Struthio camelus: one gene and its partner. The protein of the gene in region 1 interacts with the protein of each later gene in a biochemical or structural test. Links are inferred from orthologs where the notes say so. Each region holds a gene or a part of one and is shown on either strand. Other genes may lie near its edges. The genes, in order: SNTG1 and PLEKHA1.

Region 1 (10,970 bases):
GGCAGAGATGAGGGAACAGAATGAAGATACTATAGTGATATCATTTGTATTAGACTGAAACAGAAAAGTGGCACACAACGTTGATTTTTATGAGAGATCATTGGGAGGCTACCTGAGTAGATAACAATACCATTATTGTAGTGAATAAGTAGTCTATTAAAAAAAAGGGTTAATAAGATTTCTGTTATTGTTCTTCATCTCATTTTAATCCCTGGTCTAGTCAGGGAAAAATATGGCAACCAATTACTTTTCTGATAGACATCTACCCAAGGAAGCTTAAGGCTAGGGACTGGCAGTACTGAAAAGAGAGAGATGTCTACACAGCATGAGGCAGAGGGTGAGCAAAGACTGGAGTCACTAGGAACTCAACTAATGACAGAGTGATGTGAGTAAGAACTGGCATGTTCAGCTGTTGGCACCAAAGTGTCATGGAAGAAGTACACAAAGTGCTGTCAGGGACTATTTCACAGCTGTGAGTGACAATCCATAGCTAGGAGGGAGAACAAACCCATCAAGAGTGTCTACATGCTGGAAGAGCAATGCTTATTATTTAGTAGTTAAGAACCTGGAATATTTGCCTCAGTTAATGCAGGAATACCATGGATCATATACTGCAGTAACTCTGATCTGGGGTCAATTTCTTCAAGAAACATCTGTACATGGTGCAGCTCCCACAGCCCAGATGGTTTCCCCCTAGGGTTTGGCATAGGTCATGCATGCAAACCACAAGCATCATGGTAGAAAAGCTACTCAGATTCCACAGGACAGTCAGACTAGGTCAGGTTCAACGTACTTTCCTTTGCACTTGTGTCCAGGATCAGCACACAGTGTTCACCCTTCCATATATACACATATCACATGTTCCTCACACTAAGAGATACCTATGTCCCCTTCTTCTGCAGTGAAGCAGCCGTTGTCTCCATTTACAGCAAGCACTGAATTCATCCTGCAGTCCTTTTACAGATGAAGAAGTTGCTGTCATATGACTGAGGAGGGGGAATCAAAGCTGCCTCTGCTATTGAAGGTTTGGAGGGATGCAGTGATGGCTCCACCCAGGAAGGCTTACCTCATTTATACATAGCCAGAAGCAGCCACAGAAGCAGCTCCTTTTTATCCCCTCTCCCTGACTTGGGGCTATGAATGAGTGTGAAAAAATATTGAACTGTCTGGAAGCATTTGCTGATTAAACAGCTGTTGCTCCCTTCAACATCCCACAGGCAAACACTTGGGCCAGGCTGAAGATGCCGGGGAGACCATGGTCTAATATCCATCTATCAGAGATTACCTATAACATCCATAATTTTTCACATAAGTCTGTTTACCTTTTTGCAGAGTGGTTCATTTTGCAACTTTTGGGCAAAATTGTGATTTTAATTCCACCCACAGAAACTGTCTCAGGTGTTCACCAACACTTCCTTTAATTCCAGGAACATAGTGCTCATTTTATAAGCTATGGTTGTAGCCACATAGAAACTCACACGCTGTCAGTTTCACTTCAAAATAGTATAATCCATTATATTATTTGCAGATGACATTCCATATTTGAATTCCACTACCACATCTTTTAACTACCACTTTAAACACCACGAAGCTAATAGAAATAAAACTGTTAAGTTAGTTGTTTTTAAAGGATACATGCATTTTATCACTTATTTGGTTTCCAAATGGAAAAACAGTTTTGAAGTTTGCAATGTGTAAAATTAATTTTTAAGTGCACAGAGGGTAATTTTATCTTCTTTTGGTGAAGAAATAGGATAATTGGAATAATACTGAGATACGTTTTTGTAGTGAGGATAATACAGAAAAATGAAATTGATAATTTTCTTAGATGTGACTAATTATAGCCTGTGAATTGTCACTTGTCCTTTCTAATTTGTGATAATTGATTATAATAAATTAATTACTAAGATAGATAACAGATAATTTCCCTAAAACTGGTTAAAATCCTTCGTTACAATGTTATCGAAATTCTCTTATAGGTTAAAAATAATCATTCATCAGATGCCTGCCAATTATAGACTGGCATAAATAATAACAGTACTGAACATGATGTAGAGACGGCCTATAAAATTTGGGATTAAGGAAAGAGTTTAAGGCTATGAACTTCACAGCTTCTTTGAGGTTTTCTGCTATTTGGTTTCAACATATGTGGGTTTAAATTCTCCAAGCTTTGGGATTATTTGAAAAGCTCAGAATTTTAAAGAAATATTCATATGGAATTGCTAATATCCTGTTTACATGTACAAAGAGGGATTTTAATGAGTTGCAGTCAGAACAAAACCCATGTCTCTGTCTGGGCCTACATGAGTTTGAGTTTTAAACGGATTCACAGGAGCTCTTGAGAAACAAATCATGGCAGCAAGGAATATTATAGAATATAGCTGCAGTTTTCTGGCCACCCACAGAACATAAAGGCTATTTTGGTCTCCACCATTCCTCCAGTCAGATTTTAAGATTACAAGCCATGGTGACAAATGACACACTATTTTATATAAGTGTGCCAGATACTGGTACATCACTTTCCATATTTTCTTGGAGTTTAGTTTAATCTAGTTGCGGGGGAACAAGAAGGAATATGTTCATAGCCTTTTCTGGACTAAACTGGGTGAATTAATACTAGTCTATGAGTAGAATTTAAAAATAATATTAACTCATCAGAAACTGGAAATTTTCTCTAAATTTCTACTGCAATATAGGGAGTACCAGGAGCTTGATGCTCATAGATGGCCTTGTGACCTACTTATTATATAGCATGTTATACCCATTCTTGAGGGAATTACAACAGCCATATCTTTTTCCGGAAGTGGATATTGAAAATATATTAATTCTATTCTGATGGAAAAAGAAAATCTCATCAATGCTGTGAGTTTCACTTCAATTTGCCTTTTGATATTCTGCTTAATGAGATCTTCTTATAGGCTGGTAATATCTTTTTATTGAGTATTTATTTTCATGTGAATAAATAAAAACTGATACTTTCTAAGAAATTTTGGGGTCTATTTAAGATACTTTGTGACTAAAACCAAAGCTGCTTCTAAATGAACAGCACCCATGCCTCAGTTTCAGTTTCAGATTTTCATGCTCAAAATGGGGGAATACCTTGCCTTCATTTACAGACTGGAATGTATTTGATACAGCTGATGGCTTCAAACTGATAAAGAGCTAAGTTCTGTCAAGGAAAGAGCATATAATGGTGGCTAGCCATGGATGTTTTAGCAGACCTGCTAGGACTTGCTACATGAATGGATGCCCCCTAACTTGCACTGGTTTTGGATAAAGGTCTCTCTTTTTTTTTTCCTGATATAATGATGCGCCTGTAACTTCTTTTTCAGGCCCTTAGTTCTTTCTTGTTCACTTCCCAGCTCTTTCACAGTGAGGAGTTACATGCCACAGATATAGACACAAACGTCTGGCTGCCAGATGTCAGAATCACTGCCCACAATCAGAGTGAAATATCCTGTAACCAGAAAGATTGGGTTCTGCTTAGGAGAAAGAGGACAAATAGCTGCTCATAGATAGATAGTCAGTACTGTTCTACAAAGGATGTCACGACTTTCTTGTTGAGTGACATCCTTCCCTCCACCCCCACATCTTTTAGCCAATACAATTTGCTCTTCATCTTTATCTTTTATTTCCTCCATTTTAACTCTCTTACTCCTCTGTCACCTCATCCCTGATGGACACCTTGAATGGTGCCAGTTGGCTAAAGCTGCACAATCTGCAGCAGAAGCTACCACTAGTTTATGTCATACCATGTAATATTTTCTAGTAAACACTGCCAGTAACTACACAAAAACCCTTCTGGGTCTCCCAATCTGACTTTAAATGTTGACTCATGTTCTTGATTACTTTCTAAACCTGTATGAAATATGAATTTTGTGTATGTAAGAATCCTATGCTGTGTTTGTGCTGCCTGAAGCAAAAATGTAATACAATACTAATCTTCTAATATTATGTAAAACTGATAGTCACACATACTTCATACAATCATGTGAAATCTGCCTGATAATGTTTTTAAAAATTGCACACTTTTCATCTGCTTTGGTAGAGTTTATCTTCAGCATATTCTTAATGCTAATAAAACTTTTAACTGAGATATGCATGTTTTAACAAGCATGGGAAGAGCTTGAAAGCTCTTGCAGCAAAAATTGCGATAACTTTCTCTTGTGAAAATAAAACTGTCTTGCTTACATAAGCAAGAGTATCACTCTACTCTTCATCTTCACATAAAAGAAAGGTAACAGGTCTCTGTTAGAGATGACAGTTCTTCCTACAGCTAGGAGGAATATGGCATGTATTGATTAATCTATATCCAGGCTTGCGAGTTTTAAGGAAAGGTGATTTCAACAGCTGAGGCTGTCACCGTTGGAACTGCATCAGAGCTATCCCAACAAGTAGTATTTGCTCCAGCCAGGGTAGTTAAGAGATTGTGAAGGATCATTCATATCCACTTTATTTAAAAACTGTGCTCTGAGGCCTTTCTCAACAAAGCAAGAGCAAGGATGGCTGCACTTCTGCTTTACTTCTGTGTTTGACTCAGACGAGTTTTCAGTTCACTAAATTTCACTCATTATTTCAATTCTGAGAGATACATGTATTAGGACTTGGATGGTAATATATATAGTTGCAATCATTTATTTTTTCAGTCTTGTCAGGAGAACTACCTGTTCAAACCATTCAATCTGCGGTAGAACCGGAATAGGACAGATAGCTTGGTTAGCTTGTAGCTATCAAGAAGTCTGTTAACATCAATCATTATTAAGAAATAGGGAAAAACAAGAATCTGTATCTCTAGATGAGGACCCAAGTACAAATCTGTTCCATTAGCCATGAAATCCATCACTGCATATTCTTATGCATTTATCAGCTGCACTCTTCAGAGCAACTCTATTATCTTTACATTTAGCTTGTATGGAGCTGTCTTTTTAAAATCTTTTCCCCCTGAATAGCTCACTGCACATTACTGAAGTTAATATTTATAAAAGGAATTCATAAGGAACAAAAAGATTTTTGTTTGCCCCAGCTTGGCAGAAGAAGACTTTTTAACCATAAAATGTAGAAAAAATAACTTTTCACTCTAAGAAGCCTAAACAACTGTATGGAGGAAAAATGCTCGAAGAGGAGCTACACAGAAGCAAAGCTAAATCTGCTTTCACTGGACGTGTAATTTTGATCACCCTCCCTGAAAATCTCTGCTTGACTAAAGAATAACATTTCCAAGAGCTAAAACGGGGCCCAGAGGATACGGATAAGGCAATCTAGCGACAACAACCAGCCTGGCCCGCTCTGGGGGCCAAACTTAGACGCAGAAGAGGGTCCCTCGGCTGCACCCGACGCTGCCACTTTAAACCGTGGGATTTATTTTTTTTTTTTTTCCCTGCTTTCGTAGCTCCACATAGCGTCGGTGGGATGAAACGAGTCAGCTCCGCGCGGCCCCGTCCCGCCGAGCAGAGCGGAGCGGAGCCCCCGCGAGCCCCCAGGCGCGGCGCCCCGGGCTCCCCCGAGGCCACCGGGGGGGGGGGGGCAGGAGGAGCTTGCTGCTCCCCAAAACCGGCGTGAGGGAAGCAGGCGGTTAAGGGACGGCTGCGTCTGCGAGGGGCCCCGCGGCGCTCTCTTTCCTCCCGTTTTAATTTTCCTCCACCCCCACAGCCTTTGCAAAGGCGGGTCGGTGGCTGGCGGCCCCCACCCCGCGGGCCCGGCTCCCCCGCACTGGCAGCGCAGACGTATACGTGCGTATAATACACCACAGGGCGCGCATATATGCCTATATATATATGATCTGCCACGTTATGCTATATCATTTCAGCACTCTCCGACGGGTGGGGTGACTGCTGTACGGTCTCAGTGAGCTCCGGCTGCGGGGCTGCTTGCCAGCTGTTGGAGATAAGCAAGTGCGAAAGCGCAGGGCTGCGGGTGCGCAGGGGATTTAGGGATGCGGGGTGGAGCAGCCCCCTTTGCCACCTGCTGCTTGCCGGGGGTGCTGCGCCGGGGTGCGCCCGGCTCCCTCCCGAGAAGCCCCAGGTCCTGGCTCCCTGTGGAGGAAGGAGCCCAGGCATCAGCCCCCTCCCTCGTCCCTGCAGTCCTGGCACAGCAGCGCTGCAGAAACCCGCATCCTCTGGATCCAGAAAGGCTTTGGCCTCTCAGTGATACTCGATGTCCAACACAGACACCAAGTGGTTTATTCTTCCCTCCCTCCCTCTTTCGCCTGTCCCTCCTCCTTTTTTGTCCCCCCCCCCCCCCCGCCCCAAACCCAGCACGGACCCTGCTTGCTGCCATGTTTTAGCCACTTTAACTTCCAACTCCTCTGTTGAAACAAAATTAGATGACCCGTTGACCGTGGCTCCAGGACAAGGGGATGCCGAGGCAGCCCGGACACGGTGTGTGTGGGGGGGAAGCCGTGCTCTCCCACTTGCTCCCCCCTGCGCCGCCCCGCAAAACCAGCTTGCAGGGAGCTGCCAACCCCGCGGGGGGCTGCGGGCCCCCAGGTGCCGCTGGCAGCTCTCCGCCCGGCGGCGGCCGGGCAGGCTGCAGGGGCGGGACGCGGCCCCGCCGCCGCCTCCGACGCCCCCTTCCCAGCTGGGGAGCGCTGGGCGCCGCCCGCCCCCGCGCGCTGCGGAGCGGGGACGCGTTCTCGCTCGTTTCTCATGTCTTCATTTGGTGAAAAATTAAGCAGGGCATCGTTCCCTTAGCAGGTGGGAGAGCGACAAAACCCAAGCGACATAGCCCAAAATTAGAGGCTGGCAGATTAGGAGGGATTACTTGACCGAGGGAAGATGGTAGCATCTAAAAAGAAAACGACTCTGCCGCTTCAAGTGAGTCTGTCAAAATAAACCGCACACATAACTGCTTCTAAATAAGGGGGTTGATATGTTATATTTTCCGTCTGGCAAGCGATCAATATATACCCACTCGCACAGTGAGGAGAAACCGCATCCAGTGAAGTTCAGCAAGAAGAGGGGCATAATAAGGCGGAGGTCAAAAAACTTTTCTGCCTGGGCAAGGCAGAATTTCTCCTCACTGAGAACTCACAGGGGGGCAGAGGGATAAGCCGTGACCGGGGGGGGACTGCGTTTCGGCAGCGCGGGGGCCGGCGGAGGGAGCGGGGTGGGGGGAGGGAGGAGGACCGCACTTTCCCCGCGGTGCCCCGCGCAGCCGCCCCCTGTGCTGCCTCTACTTGCGGCGCGGCGCGGAGCGTAGCGGCCCGCTCTGCCGCCGGCAGGGCCGCGGCTCGCCGGCTTTGCTGGGGGCGGCCCCGGGGCGGTGTTTCGGAGCGCCGGGGGTGGGGTGGGGTTGGGGGGGGGTCCCGAGGGCGGGCATCGCCGCGCCGGGCTGCGGCCGCGCTGGCGGCGCCTCTTCGCCTCGCCGCGCCGCGCCTGGGCGCTCTCGGCCGCGGAGGGGCGGCGCTGCCTAGCCGCGCTCCCCCGCCCGGTGCCCCCGCGCCGTCTCCGCCAAGGGCGCGGGGAGCCCCCTCGCTGCCGCCGGCGCGGCGGCGGCCGGGTGAGATGCGGCGCTAGCGGCCGCGAGGCGACGCCGCGGGCATCCGAGCGCGACTGGCCGGGGGCTGCGGCGGAGACCATGGGCGGCCGGGTCGGGGGCGCGCCGGCCGGGCTCCCTGCGCGCTCCGGCTGAGCCCGGAGATGCCCCGGCCTTTTGGGAAATATTTTGGAAATCGCTCGGAGAGGTCCGAGGAGGGCGAGCGGCTCTGCGTTTCGCCAGCCGAGAGGAGGTCGCCCGGCGGGAGCACACAGGCAAGTGAGTGTCGTTTTTTGTTGTCCTTGCGCTGCATGAACGTCATCTCCAGTGACTTTTTTGCAGCTTTGGGTTTCTTACTCGCGGTTTTGGAGGCAGCGGCCCCAGCTGCAGTTTTGGCTCTCCGGCGTGTCGGTGCGGGAGGTTTGTGGTCGAGGTCGCAGCGGCGCCCGGTCCAACTCCGGCGAAGTACGACGAGGGCAGCCGTACGGTGCAGGACTTGGCGTGCACAAGCGGTAAAGCGCAGCGCTGTAGTAATCCTGTGCTGCCCACTTCTGCACCTGTAAGAAATGATGCATTATATGTGCTAATATAAAATGTCTTCTGCTTTGTGCTAGGCTATAACTTAATTGCAGGAGTCCCTTTATTGCTTTCCAGCAGTGGCTCTTGGAGGAGAGAGGCAGGGTATGTGTGTAAGCATATTTCATACCCATCTATGGGTTAAAATAGTGAACCTAGAGAGTTTTGATTTTTATGCCTTTACTTTCTTGTGTCCTGCCTGGTGATTTTCTTTTTCTCTGAGATGCTGTTGCTGTGAGGATGTGGTTTCTCCAGCTTTGTTTGTTTGCTTTAGCACATGGATTTTTATTGCTCTACTTGTTATTGCTGTGAAACAAAAAGTTGATTTCAGTATATCTCAGCACGTAGAGCAGACACGGGACTAATTCTGCTCTTGGAGGAACTCCGCTTTGAAGGAGCAGACCCATAGGGCTGTAATCTCTTGCTAAAAACTCAAAGATCTCTAAACAGGGTAGTCACGCTGAAAAGAATGAATTCTCCTGGTCACCTTTCAGCACGCATAGTGTATGAGCTAACCAACCTGCCTGCTCCTCTCTATGAAACATCTGTCTCTGAAAGGTAGGGGATAAAGAGGATTCATAAAGTGAATTCTGGACAGGTTTGGGAGAAGACAAAACTTCAGACTGTGTTTAATTAAGTTTTCTCTTATTGATTTCCTTGGTGTCTTCTCTATGAGTCTAAAAATGACAATCTTTTACAGTAACCTTGATGTACATCCTGGTCTAACATGAAAGCATCACAGAATAAAAGGAGTTACACAGATTTATAGCTGAGCTCTAGCATTTCACTAAGAACTCAGTTCCAGTGAACATCCTAGTTTCAGCAGAGACACTGGGCATTATGAGTGAGTGGACTTGCGGAAATAACTCTGTGATAGTGATAAAAGTATAAGGTGCAATGTTGGAAGCATATGCTCCTGCAGAAATATCAAGGTGTGTGAAATGTTTGTTGAGTTTTGGATATTTTCTTCTCTAATCGAAGAGAACTCTGGCAAAAAGTGTGTGTGGGGGGGGTAGTGGGGGGTGCTCAGAGCTTCCCAGGTTAATGCACTTTGATTTGCCTGCACTTGTTGGCTGGGAAGCTGTAAGGAAGGGATCTTCTTATGGACTGAAACACACACTTTACATGAATGCGGAGTTAACATAATAGGATTAAAAGGCATTGAGTTGGCAGTACTGAACGTGTAACTTGAACGAGTTACGCTTGAAGGTGCAACTAACTCAAGTTTATAGCAAAAAGTAAGCCTTTCCCATAATAGTGGATGAAGTTCACTGTGGGTAAGCAGTCTGAGAGGAATGTCACTTTGTTTCAGTGCAGTTTCAGGAGAGCTTTGTTGTGGTTCATATTCCTGACTGTGAAGATACTGTGAAAAGCAATTAAAATAACTGTTGCTAGACACTGGGGCACAAACCTGTCCATTATTTAAAGCATTCAGCTTCTTTTTGCGGCTTATCAAAAAAATCTGTATCTTTTATCAAAGTGTAGCTATGGACTTATTGTAGTAATTCCTTTCTCTGTTGCAGAGTGGCAGGCTTTCACTAAGTGTGTGCAAGAGAGATCATAAAACACTGACGCATGCACTGAGCTGGAATTCATTGGGGCTATACATTACATTGATGGTTTACAAAATTAACATAAGTAACTGCTTATACCTGATTATACAGATAAGTGGTTTTTGAAAATTATATCAGCTTTGCCGGTTCTGATGCAAGTTACAGAGCCCTTTTCTTCCTTTTCTTCTTAGTCCTTCAAACTAATCTAATGCTATACTCTGTCTTTGCCTGGAGAAGAAGAAAACATAATTTAATGATGCATCATTTGGCTTTTGCAGTATCTTGTCCCATAGCTATGAGATAATCCAATGAAGGTCCTTGTCACTGAATTAAAGAACATGCTGCTCTAGCCTTTCACCTATAGCCAGTTTTTCATTCTGCTTTATGGCCAAAGAACTGAGTTTTCACTGAGTCTGGTAGAAGAAAGAAACATTTCTTTTTCTGTTGAAAATTTGAAAAGAAAGGGGAAAGAAATACCTGAGTTCTTTAAGGAAAGAACTTGCTTACTGTAAGGCTATTCTAGTATTTTCTTTCATGTTCTGTATCCTAGTTTACTTGTATCTTTTGTATCGGAGATTGCCAAAATACACTATATTCAACTTTATGGCATGTATTTTTATTTTTATACTATGCAAATTAATAGAGAAGATGTTGATTTGATTTAGAAAGTCCAGGGCAAGCTTACAGATTGCATTCCTTTGCTAATTTTGTTATATCTGCTCAGGCATGCTGTTTGGCTTGCCAGATATAACCTTCATGAATTGACAAAATATGTCAAGCTGTCCAGTCAGTACAACAGAGTTGTCTGAGTCACTATTCATTCATCTTCAATCAAATATTAAAAAAGTAGTCTGTTCTTGACTCTTCTTCACTCTGAAGTGCTTGAATAAGTACCATTTCTTCATGCTCGTAATTTAGTACTGGTCTTTGTGGCTGAGCTACTGGGAAAACTGTGATACTGTCAAAGGCTAGTCATCACCACCTTTGCTTGCATACATTGTTTAAAAAGGTAAGAAGTGGTAGCAAGTAAGAAGTGTCAAATGGATTTAATGTATAGTCTTTCTTATCCCTTCTCATGGCTGTACTTTCAGTTCAGGTTACCAGAGAGAGGATTAGATAGGCTGAATCCCAGTTTGTCTGCTGCATCAACGCATACGTCTGACAGTCTGAGGTGACATCATCTCAGCATGGTTACACACCTGACTTTCTGTATTTGCCCTGAGTTTTACCTTCCGTAACTGGAAGAGTCAGAAAGCCTTACTGTCATTGTGGCCAGCCTAAATTTTCTGCCTTTCTATTCCAGGTCAGATGAAGGAGAGAAAGCACATGTATTGGGGGATGGGGGGGAGAGTATAGATCATATCTCAA
Region 2 (11,342 bases), on another chromosome or scaffold:
CTCATAACATGAGGGAACTATATGCTGCACATTACTACCACATCTGAACATATCAAAATCTCTGGCTTATCTTACTATTCCGTAGTTTCAGTATGAGAACTGAGGGACAGAGAAGCAACTTGTCCCAGGCCACACAGGCAGATTTTGGCAAGGCAGTGAGCTGAACCTGTTTCCCAAGTTCCAGAGTAGCAACCTCACCACTGAACCACCTTTCTTCTACATAAAATACCTGTAACTATTCAGATTTTCAAGGCAAAGGCATATGTTCAAACCTGAAATTGGTTTAAACTGTTGAATGCCACAAACGTCTACCAGACCTACAACTCCCTCCTTGCGCAGATAACATCTGTTAAAAGTACATGGCTCATACAGTTCTGCACCAGAAAGCTTAATAAGTTCCTTCTCCAAGATTAAAGAAACACCTACACATTCTAGATGCTTCTGCAAGTCCCTGGAGGGAGAAAACGCTGCTTAGCGTTGAGACAATGAACCAAGCTTCCTTCCTTTACAGTAACAAAATCCTGTTGCTTTACCTAGCACTAACAGGAAGGTGTTATTTATAAAACTGAGTGGTATACAAATACATATCCAAGCGTTTCACAAAGTAATGCTACAGCATATAACGGGAAGACCTTAGACTTAAAAAAAAAAAAAAAAATCCAGATTTTAAAAATCTGGATTTTGGACATCAGTATGGGAGTAGAAAATTCTTTGAAATAGCTCACCCATATCTCTCATTCCACTTTATTTCAGTCAATTTACCCATGAAGGCATACCTTCAAAACTTGAACAACTGACACTTGTTTCTCTGATCTCTCCAGTAGACAGTTTCTTAAAAATAAACTACATTTATTTCTACATATCTGGTAAACTCACCAGAATTGATATTCATGTTCCTAATGTAATTTTATAAAGCACTGAGAGCAACATTTCCAGACATGTCATGCTACAGCTAGACATAAACCGAGAGAGAGAGAGAGAGAGAGAGAGAACTGACCATTGTACCTATTGCATAATTTGTTTCCTAGTGACATCTATTTCCTCCACTTTGTAAATTACATTTTAATGCTAAAGTCAGTTACCTAAATTCCCATATTCTGGCAGTAAAGATCCATAAGTTATTATCCTCTAGTTTCAGCAATTATACAACTGCACAAATACTAATTTGGCTCCAAGCACCAGGGAATATTTTCTAAGAACATTTTCTGTTGTTCTTAATTATCAAGAAGAAAACATTTCACAAAAAAAAGACACATTCTCTTGCTTCACAAGCTATTGTTAAGTCAAACGCTGACATATAGCTGCCTATGGGAAAGTGCACACCTCCACGTGCAAGGAAACTTCTCAGTTTTAAGATGTACTCGCTCCAACACTTCTGGTTTGCTGCAATTTGAAGGAACTACATTTACTATGATAGCTGTCAGGTCTAATAACCAAGAACACTCAGTAGTAAAGATACTGATGGAATTCTAAAACTACTAAAATAGATGAAGAATTTCACAGGCCTGGCAGTTTGGGCTATGCTCAACCCTCCACTGGAGACTGTATTGTAAGTGCATTATCTGTTCACATTTCAGTAATGTCCTAAAGTTATTTTTATTGACTGTCACAAATTAGAAACTGACTTTTGCACTTCCTTTCTTTCACGCTAACATTGTGACATATAGTCAGCCTTTATTACTCCTGCTGATTAACCTCCTTGCTTTTTGAAATAAGCCACAACCACTGAGAAAAAACACAAAGCTTTTTCTTGCATTCAAGTAATTTCCTAATATACACTCTTTCCCTATTTCCAGGTTGGTCTCTGTCTAGTCTCTCTCAGTTCCTACTGCTGAGAAAGAACAAATACAGGGAGAGAAGAGGAGGAAGAGGAAGAAGCATTAAGATGCTTCCGATTTTCTTTATACATTGATTCTTTCCCCAATTACTATTTTTTTGAAAGAAAAAACTCTAAACAAAAAAACCCAGCCATCTACAGACTTTTTTTCCCATGCTTTAATTTATACAAAAGCATCTACTCTTCTGAAACATCTAAACACTGCAATATACCTCGTAAGCCACCTACTGCATATCATTTTCTTAACTTCCACTTTTGAAATGCACACCTATAGGTGTGTGAATATTAACCACGGTATATAACATATTAAATTGTAAAGATGAAGAATATTTTTAAGCCGTTTCAATTAGGAATTAACATTTCTATGCTAACAAAGTAAACTAGCAATCTTTAATAACTGCAAGCAGAACACAAGGGACTCATAAAAAGTTTTTCTACGTTTTATGCCAAGCTGTCTCCAGCAGGCCAGCACTCACTGAGATCATGCTCATAATTAGGGTATTAACCTAATTATGTAACACACAGAATAGTACCGTCTATTGAATTATCACTTTCTGCAACAACAACGCTTATTTATCCCTGAATTATAAGGCTCTTCTCCAAATATCAATCAGGTTAAGAGAGGCACTTATAAAGACAGATTTTAGTCCACTTTTAACCCAGCTAAAGTGTTAACCTTTCAACACTCACTGGTGTGACAAGCAAGAAAGGACTTTTACATTTCTCTACTTTATAGACTTGACAGAACTTCACATGCCGTTACTTGTGTGAATCTACTGACAAGGAAAAAAACAGATCTAGAAGTAGGAAACGAGACTTAGTGAAAAAGCTATGAACTGCAGGGACTTAAAAGGCAAATCCACTCTTCAAAACCCAGTGTTAAGACTTAACTAGATTGCAGTGGGTACCCTGTGAATTTATCCAGCATGGAGCTTCATGAGAACAAGTGACACAACCTAAAGAAAGAATTCTTCCTATACCTAATGGCATATATACTAAGACATTCTCAAGGACTATGGAATTCATTTAAAAGTTGTACCTGCACCTCAGTTTTGACATAAACTGACATAAGACTTCGTTATTTCCATAATAACTTTCAAAACTCAGGTACAAAAGAAAAAGAAAAGATCTGCCTTAGAAGTACAGTATAGTAAGTTTATTAAAACAGGCAGAAAAATTAAACGATCATACAGCAACCAGCTGAAGTTGCCAGGCACAGCTCCCACTCAGTAAAGACCGCGTTTGTGCTGCTTCATAGTGAACACAGCTTAAGTGTATAAAAAGGAAGTGGATAAAGAAAAAACAACAACAACCACCACCACCCTGCTAGATTCAACGATTCAAAAATGCAAAGTTATTTCTGAAATCTCATAGGCCCAAACTGTGTGATCAAATATGGCTCCATCTTCCACTACAACATACGCAATTTGTAGGCAATAAAAAAGCAGATGCAGCACAGATTACTATATGCAGAAGAACCTCATAATCTCTTTCAAAGTACCCTGCTTTTGTAGGAAGGTGAACCATGAAGAAATCCGGATCTTAAGCAGCTAAGAAAATTACTCTCTCAACTTTACTCTCAGATAAGCAATGGCCTTATCTCCATAAGGATCGACCTAACAAATTAATAACTAAACTTTTTACCCACTTGGAGATAAACTGTTCTGTTCTATTGGTTTCACTAGTGTGGTGATTAGTGAAAATTAGGCATAAATTTAAGAAACAGAGGCCTCAAAAATAGCAGCCTGTTTCCCAAAGAGAAAATGATGTCCTCTTAATGTTAACAGGCAAACGTTCCCTGCAAAAATATGCCTTTTATAAAGGCTATGCATTAATTACACCTGTGGGAACCGCAAAACACATATGATATTTAAGTCTATCTGATCAGCTAATAATCAAATGCATGTTTGGAATTTCACACGTGCTGAAAACTGTAAATATGACGAAATTAGCTACAGCTTAACAGCCGCTTATGGCCAAGTTATCCATTTAAAGACACATTGCTTCATTAACTAAGCAGCCCAGGCGACAACCAAGCAGGAACACCAACTCAAGAAGTGCAGGTTTGTATTGCAAAGGCATCAGAGAACAGCTTCCTCGAGCACGCTCTCCTCCCAACTAGTGTCCTCTACACCTAAAAAGCCAAGGAGGTGCGAGCTGTCCCGTGCCCCCCGCCCCGCCCCCGGCACCACCACCACCACCACCGGCGCTGCCCAGATAAAGATCGCTCCTTCCTGTCATGCTCAAAAGACCGAAGTTGAGAAGAAGAGGAGGAAAGTAAATAAATAAATAAAGAAATAAAGATGGGTAATGAGATCATCCTCTTACCTCTGGGGATGTGACAGAGCCGGGGAAATTATACCGCAACCTCCTGTACGCTTTCCCCCTCCCCCCTCCGCCTTGGAGAGTCCCCCACGCTCAGGCAGTTATTTCGAGAGAAAAAGGAGGGAGGGAAAATAAAAAAAAAAAATTAAAGAAAACCCAAAAAACAAAGGAAGAAGGGACAGAAAAGGCATGAAACAATTATGACGCGGGGAGCCACACAAAGGCAGAGGCGTTGGAGGGAAAGGACAGTGCCCGACTTGGTCAAACATCGAGGAAGAGAGGAAAAAAGAAAATAAATGAGGTATTTCCTCCGCCGGGCCGGATCGGACCGGACCGGACCGGACCAGACCGGGCGGGTCTGTCCCGTCGCCCCCGGCCGGGGCCGAGGCACTTACTGGAGTCCAGGGCAGGTCCGGGGAGCCCCCGTGAGGAGAGCCGGGCCGCGCGGGCACCGCCGCCGCCTCCCGCCGCGCTCCCGGCCCACGGCGCGACACGACGCGACGCGACACGGCGCGACACGACGCAGCGAGCGGGCGGGAAAGCGGCCTCGGCCCCCTCTGAAGAAACTTTGCCGCCTGCCCCTGCCGCCGCCGCCGCCGCCGCCGCCGCCGCCACCACACCGCCCAGGCCCCCGCCCCGCCGCGCGCATGCGCCACAACCCCGCCTCCTGGGCGGCACCATGCGGCCGCCGTACCGCCCCGCCGCAGGGCCTCCTGGGAGGTGTAGTGCGGCGGCCGCTAGGCGCGGCCCCGCGGAGCAAAGCATGGCGGGAGTTGTAGTCCCGGGGAGGCGGGCGGCGGGGCCTGGCGGCGCGGGAGGCCCGGGGCGGGGGAGCAGACGAAGTGCCTTTGTGGCGGTGCAGCAGCACTGAGGCAGCGACAGTCCCCCGCGGGACGGCTGGTGCTTCGTGGCACCTCCAGGAGGGCCGCTTGGCCCCTGGGTCGGGTGCGGTAACCCGCCCGCCGGAGCTGGTGCGCTCGGCTTTTGAGTGCTGCCACCAACGCTAGCGCGACCTGCCTCCGGCGTCATTTTCAACATCGACTCGTTCCCTAGACCTAGCGCTCCGAAAAGAGGCCAATAGTTTATATCCGCTTAGGTCTAGTACCATTAAAATGCTGGTGGTGACTTTGTCATTAAACACGTCAGTAAACAAACTTGTCCCTGCTGGGACGAGTAGAGCCGGCGTGGGTGTCACTGGAGTCAGATGGCCGTCCGGGCGCCGGGGCCTCGGCCAGCGCTGGGGTCACGACGGGGAGCGGGCTAACGGCTTCGGCGCTGCCCGAGTCCGAAAACCAAACTCCCAAAGCGCACGCGACTGAAATGAGTGCGCGCGGTGGCTCCTTCTGCCGCAGGGGTTGGATAACTATTCATCCTGAGCGCAGGGCCTGTAGGAGAATAACGTAAGGCAGTCACACCTACTACAAAATCGTTAAGAGTTTGCGATACTGATAAACGGCTGGCTTCTCTCCTGTGATTTAATGGTAACGTTTAGGTAGCCCTAGCACCTAGAAGGCTCAGCTAGGTCAGACCCCTCTGCAGAAGGAACTGTCGGTAACGTAGCAGAGCAGTAAGAGATTTAGTTTCCTGTTTTTTTTTTTTTTTCATGCTCGTGAGCTTAATTCATATGGAGACCTTACTACGAGCTCTTTCAGAGCATAGTTAGCAGCAACCAGTAGTTACGCTACTTAGTACTGTAAATACCTTTTTTTTAGTCTTCTAAACGGCAGTGAATAAATCCTCCATCCTCTAAACAAAGAGGTGAAGCACCTGTTTAAAACAATTATGGAGCAACAGGGAGGTGATACACTATATGTGTTTAGTTTTGTGGCCAGCAATACGCATTGATGTCTCTCACAAGAGAGACATTCCTTTCACAGGATAGAAATCAGCAGTCACTGGCTCCTGTGGTTAGAAATGCTATAAATAATATTGACAGCATTTTGTGAGGGGGGAATCCAGGCAAGGAAAATGCAAGGCTTCAGCATCAGGTGCAATGGTGTACTGACCTCCATCTGCTTTGGACCAGACTCTCTAAGAGTCCAAGAGTTCATGCAGCTAAAAGGCTGTTTTCAAATTAATGTATAAGCCATACACGGGGTAAAGTAGCAGCTACCAACAATAACACAAATACTTTTTATAAGGCTTATAACAATTTTCTATGGATTTGTTTGAACATGAAGTTAATTTGATTTTTATATTAAATTTAATGGAGAGAGATCTGAAGAAAAGGAATGAACACCTTGGAAGTATGGAGACTCTGTTCCTCTATACCTGTCTTCTTCCAGAAGACTTATTAGTTAAGACAGCTTTCTGCAGCCATCGTGCTCATAGTGGCCTACAAAAATGTCTAGGAATGGTATTTAACCATTTCTGAACATACGTAGTTCACTATTAAAAACGAATAGTAAATTTATACTAAAATATTTAGTGTTTTTCAAAATAGTAATAGAGAAAATCTTCTTCCTAGCTTAAAGCAGTGATATCTCTAAAATAGAATTTATTTGAACTTAGATGTTGCATGTAAATACATCTTTGTTCCAAGGTGCTATTTAATAACGGTACTTTACAATGAAACACAAGCTGTAATGAGAGTACAACAATCAAAGTTGGAGTCAGCTATGAACAATGCTTTACGATTTCCATCGTAACTTTTTCCTATCACATCCTTCATAGGTCACACACTCTGCAGCTGTGTGAGCTAGAAGCTTTTCAGTCTGTACTCCATTCACAATTATTCATACATTTTTGAAGATTTTTTTGAAGATAACAGTGCTTTACTGGAGTTAATATAAGACAATAGACAGTAGCCGGCCTGATGCTGTCCCTCCTCCGCTTAGGACCTGATTTGACATTTCTGGTACTCACAGAACTATCATGATTGTGGTAATTCATAAAAGGACTACAGGATGTGGCCTGCCGTTGCACTGTGCACGGAAAGGGCCTTTTGCAAAAAATGATAGGAGGCCGTGCGATCAAAAGCCATTTCATAACATGTGCAGAATGAAAACGGCATAGCATTCTACAGTTTGGAATGTCTTAACTTTCAAGTACTTTCTCCAACCTCCCAAGGAAGTTTTCAATATCAGAATATATTGTGATAATGTGATTTAGGAAAGGGGGGGGAAATATTACATTTAAAAGGGGGATATATAGTATTAGACTCTAGTAGGAAACTTCATATTTAGGATAGCATATGTTGCATGATGGAAGACTATTACAGTCTTCCTTTTCAGAAGCCCTATCTCTTCTGGTGTTTACAGTCTAGTTAGGAGAAAATCATATATATAAAGACATGTCTTTGCTTAAACTGAGATACAAACTTTTAAAAAATAGCCAAATGCCTTATATCAGGTGCACTGTCCACAAAAGTACCAGAATATGCATATGGACATTCTGCTTTGTGGAATCAAGAGATAAAGAGCTCATCTGTGGACGAGTGTGAGATGGAAAAGCCAAATGTCACCTACACCCATCCCTGTGTACTGAGCATGTAATTCTGTTTGCACATATCCTCTCCCCAGACATGTAGACTTTTGAATGCTTTTAAAATTGACTCTAAACCTTTTTGTATTTCATCCCTGTAACATTCAAGGAAATATTTTTATAGCAATGGCTAACTGCTTTCCTGAAATGCATCACTTTGGAGCTGTGTTTAGAATGTGTGTATATTGATCTCTATGCTTACCATAAATTTGGTAACATCCGGTCAATAATAAAAAGCCTTCAAGTCAGCGACTGTGCGTCAGATCCTTGAAGTCAGTATCATTGTGCTGATTTAAAACAAGCTCATACCTTGCTCAGCATTTTCTTGTTTGTGAACATTTAATCCAATGGGTACAAGTGCAAAGTACCTACTGGGAGTCTCTATACCTACTGTAAAATAAACATGAACTATTACAGTAATAACTCAGACCTCCTTGAGTAATCATTTTCCTGTTGACATAATCACTGAGTTTATTTTTTTCTCTCCCCATTGCATTGGGACTGCTGTTTATTTCTTCCTCCCTACATACTACCAGGCTGATGACATGTCCTTCTCAGCTTCTGAGAGTGTTGTGCAGATACACCAGACTGATCCTGCTCAGGGCTAGTGCAGGTCCAGCAGAGTGGCTTCACCCCATCTATAACATACTACGTGGGTCAGGCTTACTTTGCTAGTGGGGAACCTCTGCCATAGTTCTTCAAGGTACTGACGATGGCTCCCCGAGATAACAAAGCCTACCTTTAAAGCTTCCCTAAATTGGAAGATCTTTTCTTTTGGCTAGACTTTTGGTGGAGATTACGGTATTTTGCCATGGTGGGGATCACCAGCAACTCGCAGTGACTTCATCTGGGTGTGAGCGTAATGTAGTGTAGTGAACACTTTTGAAAATAATTACCTGGTTCATTCTGCTTGTACCCAGATTCAAAGTACTAGAAGCCACCTGATGCCCTGAAGGACTAGATGAAAAAGTTATATCTGATGATTCTTGTGTGGAATTTTGGCCATGAGAAGAAGTACTCATGCAGCACCTGATCCCTGAAGTGCAGAGGCTCTAACATACCTGTTTGAACTGCAACGGGACTGAGCCCAAGCTCACAGTTTTTAATAAGTCCTTTTAACTTTACCCGCTGTTTTCACATTGTGATTATAAAGGATCAGAAGAGATCAAGAAGAATGAAGGCAAAGATTCTTTTCCCCATGAGTTACACGCATTGTGCAGGTGGTCACAACAGGGTGTATCTCCAAACTAAACCATTTAAGTATCAGTCTTTGATGTCAAAGACCACACCATGTGTACAGAAACCTAAATATAGTCATCTCTAATCCTCTATTTAAAGCAAGACTTCCTTTCAGTAGGAAGTTTCTGATTGTGTCAGTGTTACGGTATTGTACAGTACACTACTGGTATACAAATTACTGAGAGCTCAGCTGAGCTCATAGACCTAGAGGCCATTCAATATTTTGATGATTCTTTTCTATGAAGTATGCAAATTTAATGGAAAAAAGAAACTGTAGCATCAAAGTAAACAGGTAAACTTCAGATATGAAGTGATTCTATCACAGGTGGATATTTTCCAGTTATTGCAACATCAAGTTTATGTGCAAAGATTAGGAAGAATAGGATCTATATTTTTACCTACCCTGAAACTTCTAGAAATTTTCAAGAGTAAAGTCTGCGCTGGCTTATGCCACATGCAATGCTATTGACTTCAATTTAGAAATTGGCTCAGAGCCCGGTATATTCCAGTAGAATTGTAAGACAGGCACTTATTTCCTCTCCAGCTGTCTCTATTCATAGTCTTCAAAAGCTGGCAGGTACTCTAACAGCGGTCTTAATGCTTGTGAAAAAATATTGACAGACTCCTTTTGTACTGATCTTTTACTCAGAAGTTGTTTGTGATTCTTGTCACTGAAATGGAAAGCGGGTTTCCAGTTACTCAAAATGAAGCCTATAATAAATAACATTTGTTTAGTGGCCTGCGTTATTATGCACCTGTAAGAAGAAGCACATGGATTGACAGATATAGAACCATATGTACTTTTGTTTTCTAAGCTCACAGTTTTTCCTCCTCTGAAGTTTCTTTATTCCATCTGTAGATTTTAGGGGTCCTTTCCTATTTTTCAGGGTTATGTTATTCTCTAAAACCCCAGTTTTAACTGTCATCTTTGCTTAGAACAGGATTTTGTTTCGCTTGGAAGGAGACTTGCTATGCAGTAGCAGGTAAAGGTCTGCCCGTTCCATTCTTTCAAACCATTATGTTTCCTTGAGTCACTCCACCATTATTACGTCAATACGTCTGGCTGGTGGACATTTATTCTAGGTAAAGAACGTTGTGTTATCTCTGTCACTTCCACTCTTTGGGCTAAGGAGAATACAGAGCCTTAAACCAAGAGCTTTATGATTAAAGCTCTGCTGCTTAGTAAATAGATTCAAACACTATCCTTGGGTGAGGAAGATTTATTGAAGTCCAGACATATGTCATTCTCCTAAAAATCAAAGTAGCAGGACTGATCTAAATATTACTTTCCTCTTTTACACAAGGCTATTTTTGACAAGAGTAAAGAAATTACAGCTTTCAAGGGAAGTTTGCTGGAAGATCTCATTCTGATGTTACAGTCTTTTTACAGCAGTGCCATTCCATTTAGTTCAAGTCATGTTGTTCATGACTTACAAGTGCGATCAGTCAGACGGTATGAGTGAATGCTCCAGGCTGCTTGTACCATGCAAAGCCGTTAAACCCCCATATTCACCTGAGTGAGTCCCAACCCAAGTCATGACCCCTGAAGAGCTGCCACAAATTCTGCCACTCCCTTTGAATCAGCCTGCAGTCAGAACAATAACATAATGGTTTAATGTGCCCACTGATCTATACAGTGCTTCTGTATTTAAAAAAATAAGGGTATTTTATATTAATATAATTTCCTATATTTTTCTCATACTTAATTGACACATATCCCACACTGTTATCCATATGTTTAACTGTAACGCAATGTACTAGTGAAGTGTTTATTTCAGAAGGTATGAAAACTTCTAGTAGAACATACAGTTATTAATACCAAAAGAAGCGACATATTTACACATATACACAAATATACATTTTTTTTTTTACATATATATATGCATCACATATCCTGGCAATGAAACAGAAACGTTCAGCAATGCCAAAATATCATGATTCTTAACTTTTCTAATTGTATTTTCAGGATGGAAAATTTTTTCCAGCAGCGGAAGTTCAGCAACTTTATGCATACACAGAAATAAAGAACTATGAACAAAACCTCACTTCATTGCTATGAAGGAATTATTCTGCCTTAGACAAAACGTTTTTGTTAAAACTAACAGTTATGTTACAGTGGAAAACAGGAAAAAGCCTGGCCAGTGAATTACTAAGTATACAGCAAAATGCTCTCACTATATTCTTTTTTTATGGGTTCAATATTGCAAATTCCATCCACATTCAGTAGGCCTCCTGTGCACTATTTTAAGAGCAGTGTTATTGAAATCAATGGAACTACTTTTCCTAGAGGTTATGATCAGCTGAGGTTGTTACTCTGCTGAGCCCTCCTGTGTGTCACAGCCTATCACCTTTCACCTAACCACCTCAGTATCAGCATGCAAGGAAAGCTTCTCAGTCATTAGGTTTTATCATAAAGGACCAATGTCTGAGTCTTCTGCAGTGGTATGGCATTGATTAA

Evidence for each region.
Region 2: the proteins of SNTG1 (region 1) and PLEKHA1 form a complex in vitro, tested with the Homo sapiens proteins (2 studies listed by BioGRID and IntAct, with this or other methods). The link is inferred for Struthio camelus from reciprocal best matches to the Homo sapiens genes SNTG1 and PLEKHA1.

The regions. Positions count from the first base shown.
Region 1 is NC_090943.1:139,607,456-139,618,425, reverse strand, and holds the start of SNTG1 (gamma-1-syntrophin), read left to right. Parts: upstream 1-6,686; 5' UTR 6,687-6,812; intron 6,813-7,518; exon of another isoform or gene 7,519-7,752; intron 7,753-7,800; exon of another isoform or gene 7,801-8,032; intron 8,033-10,970. UniProt on the Homo sapiens protein: Adapter protein that binds to and probably organizes the subcellular localization of a variety of proteins. May link various receptors to the actin cytoskeleton and the dystrophin glycoprotein complex.
Region 2 is NC_090948.1:5,750,186-5,761,527, forward strand, and holds the start of PLEKHA1 (pleckstrin homology domain-containing family A member 1), read right to left. Parts: upstream 4,825-11,342; 5' UTR 4,558-4,824; exon of another isoform or gene 4,166-4,557; intron 1-4,165. UniProt on the Homo sapiens protein: Binds specifically to phosphatidylinositol 3,4-diphosphate (PtdIns3,4P2), but not to other phosphoinositides. May recruit other proteins to the plasma membrane.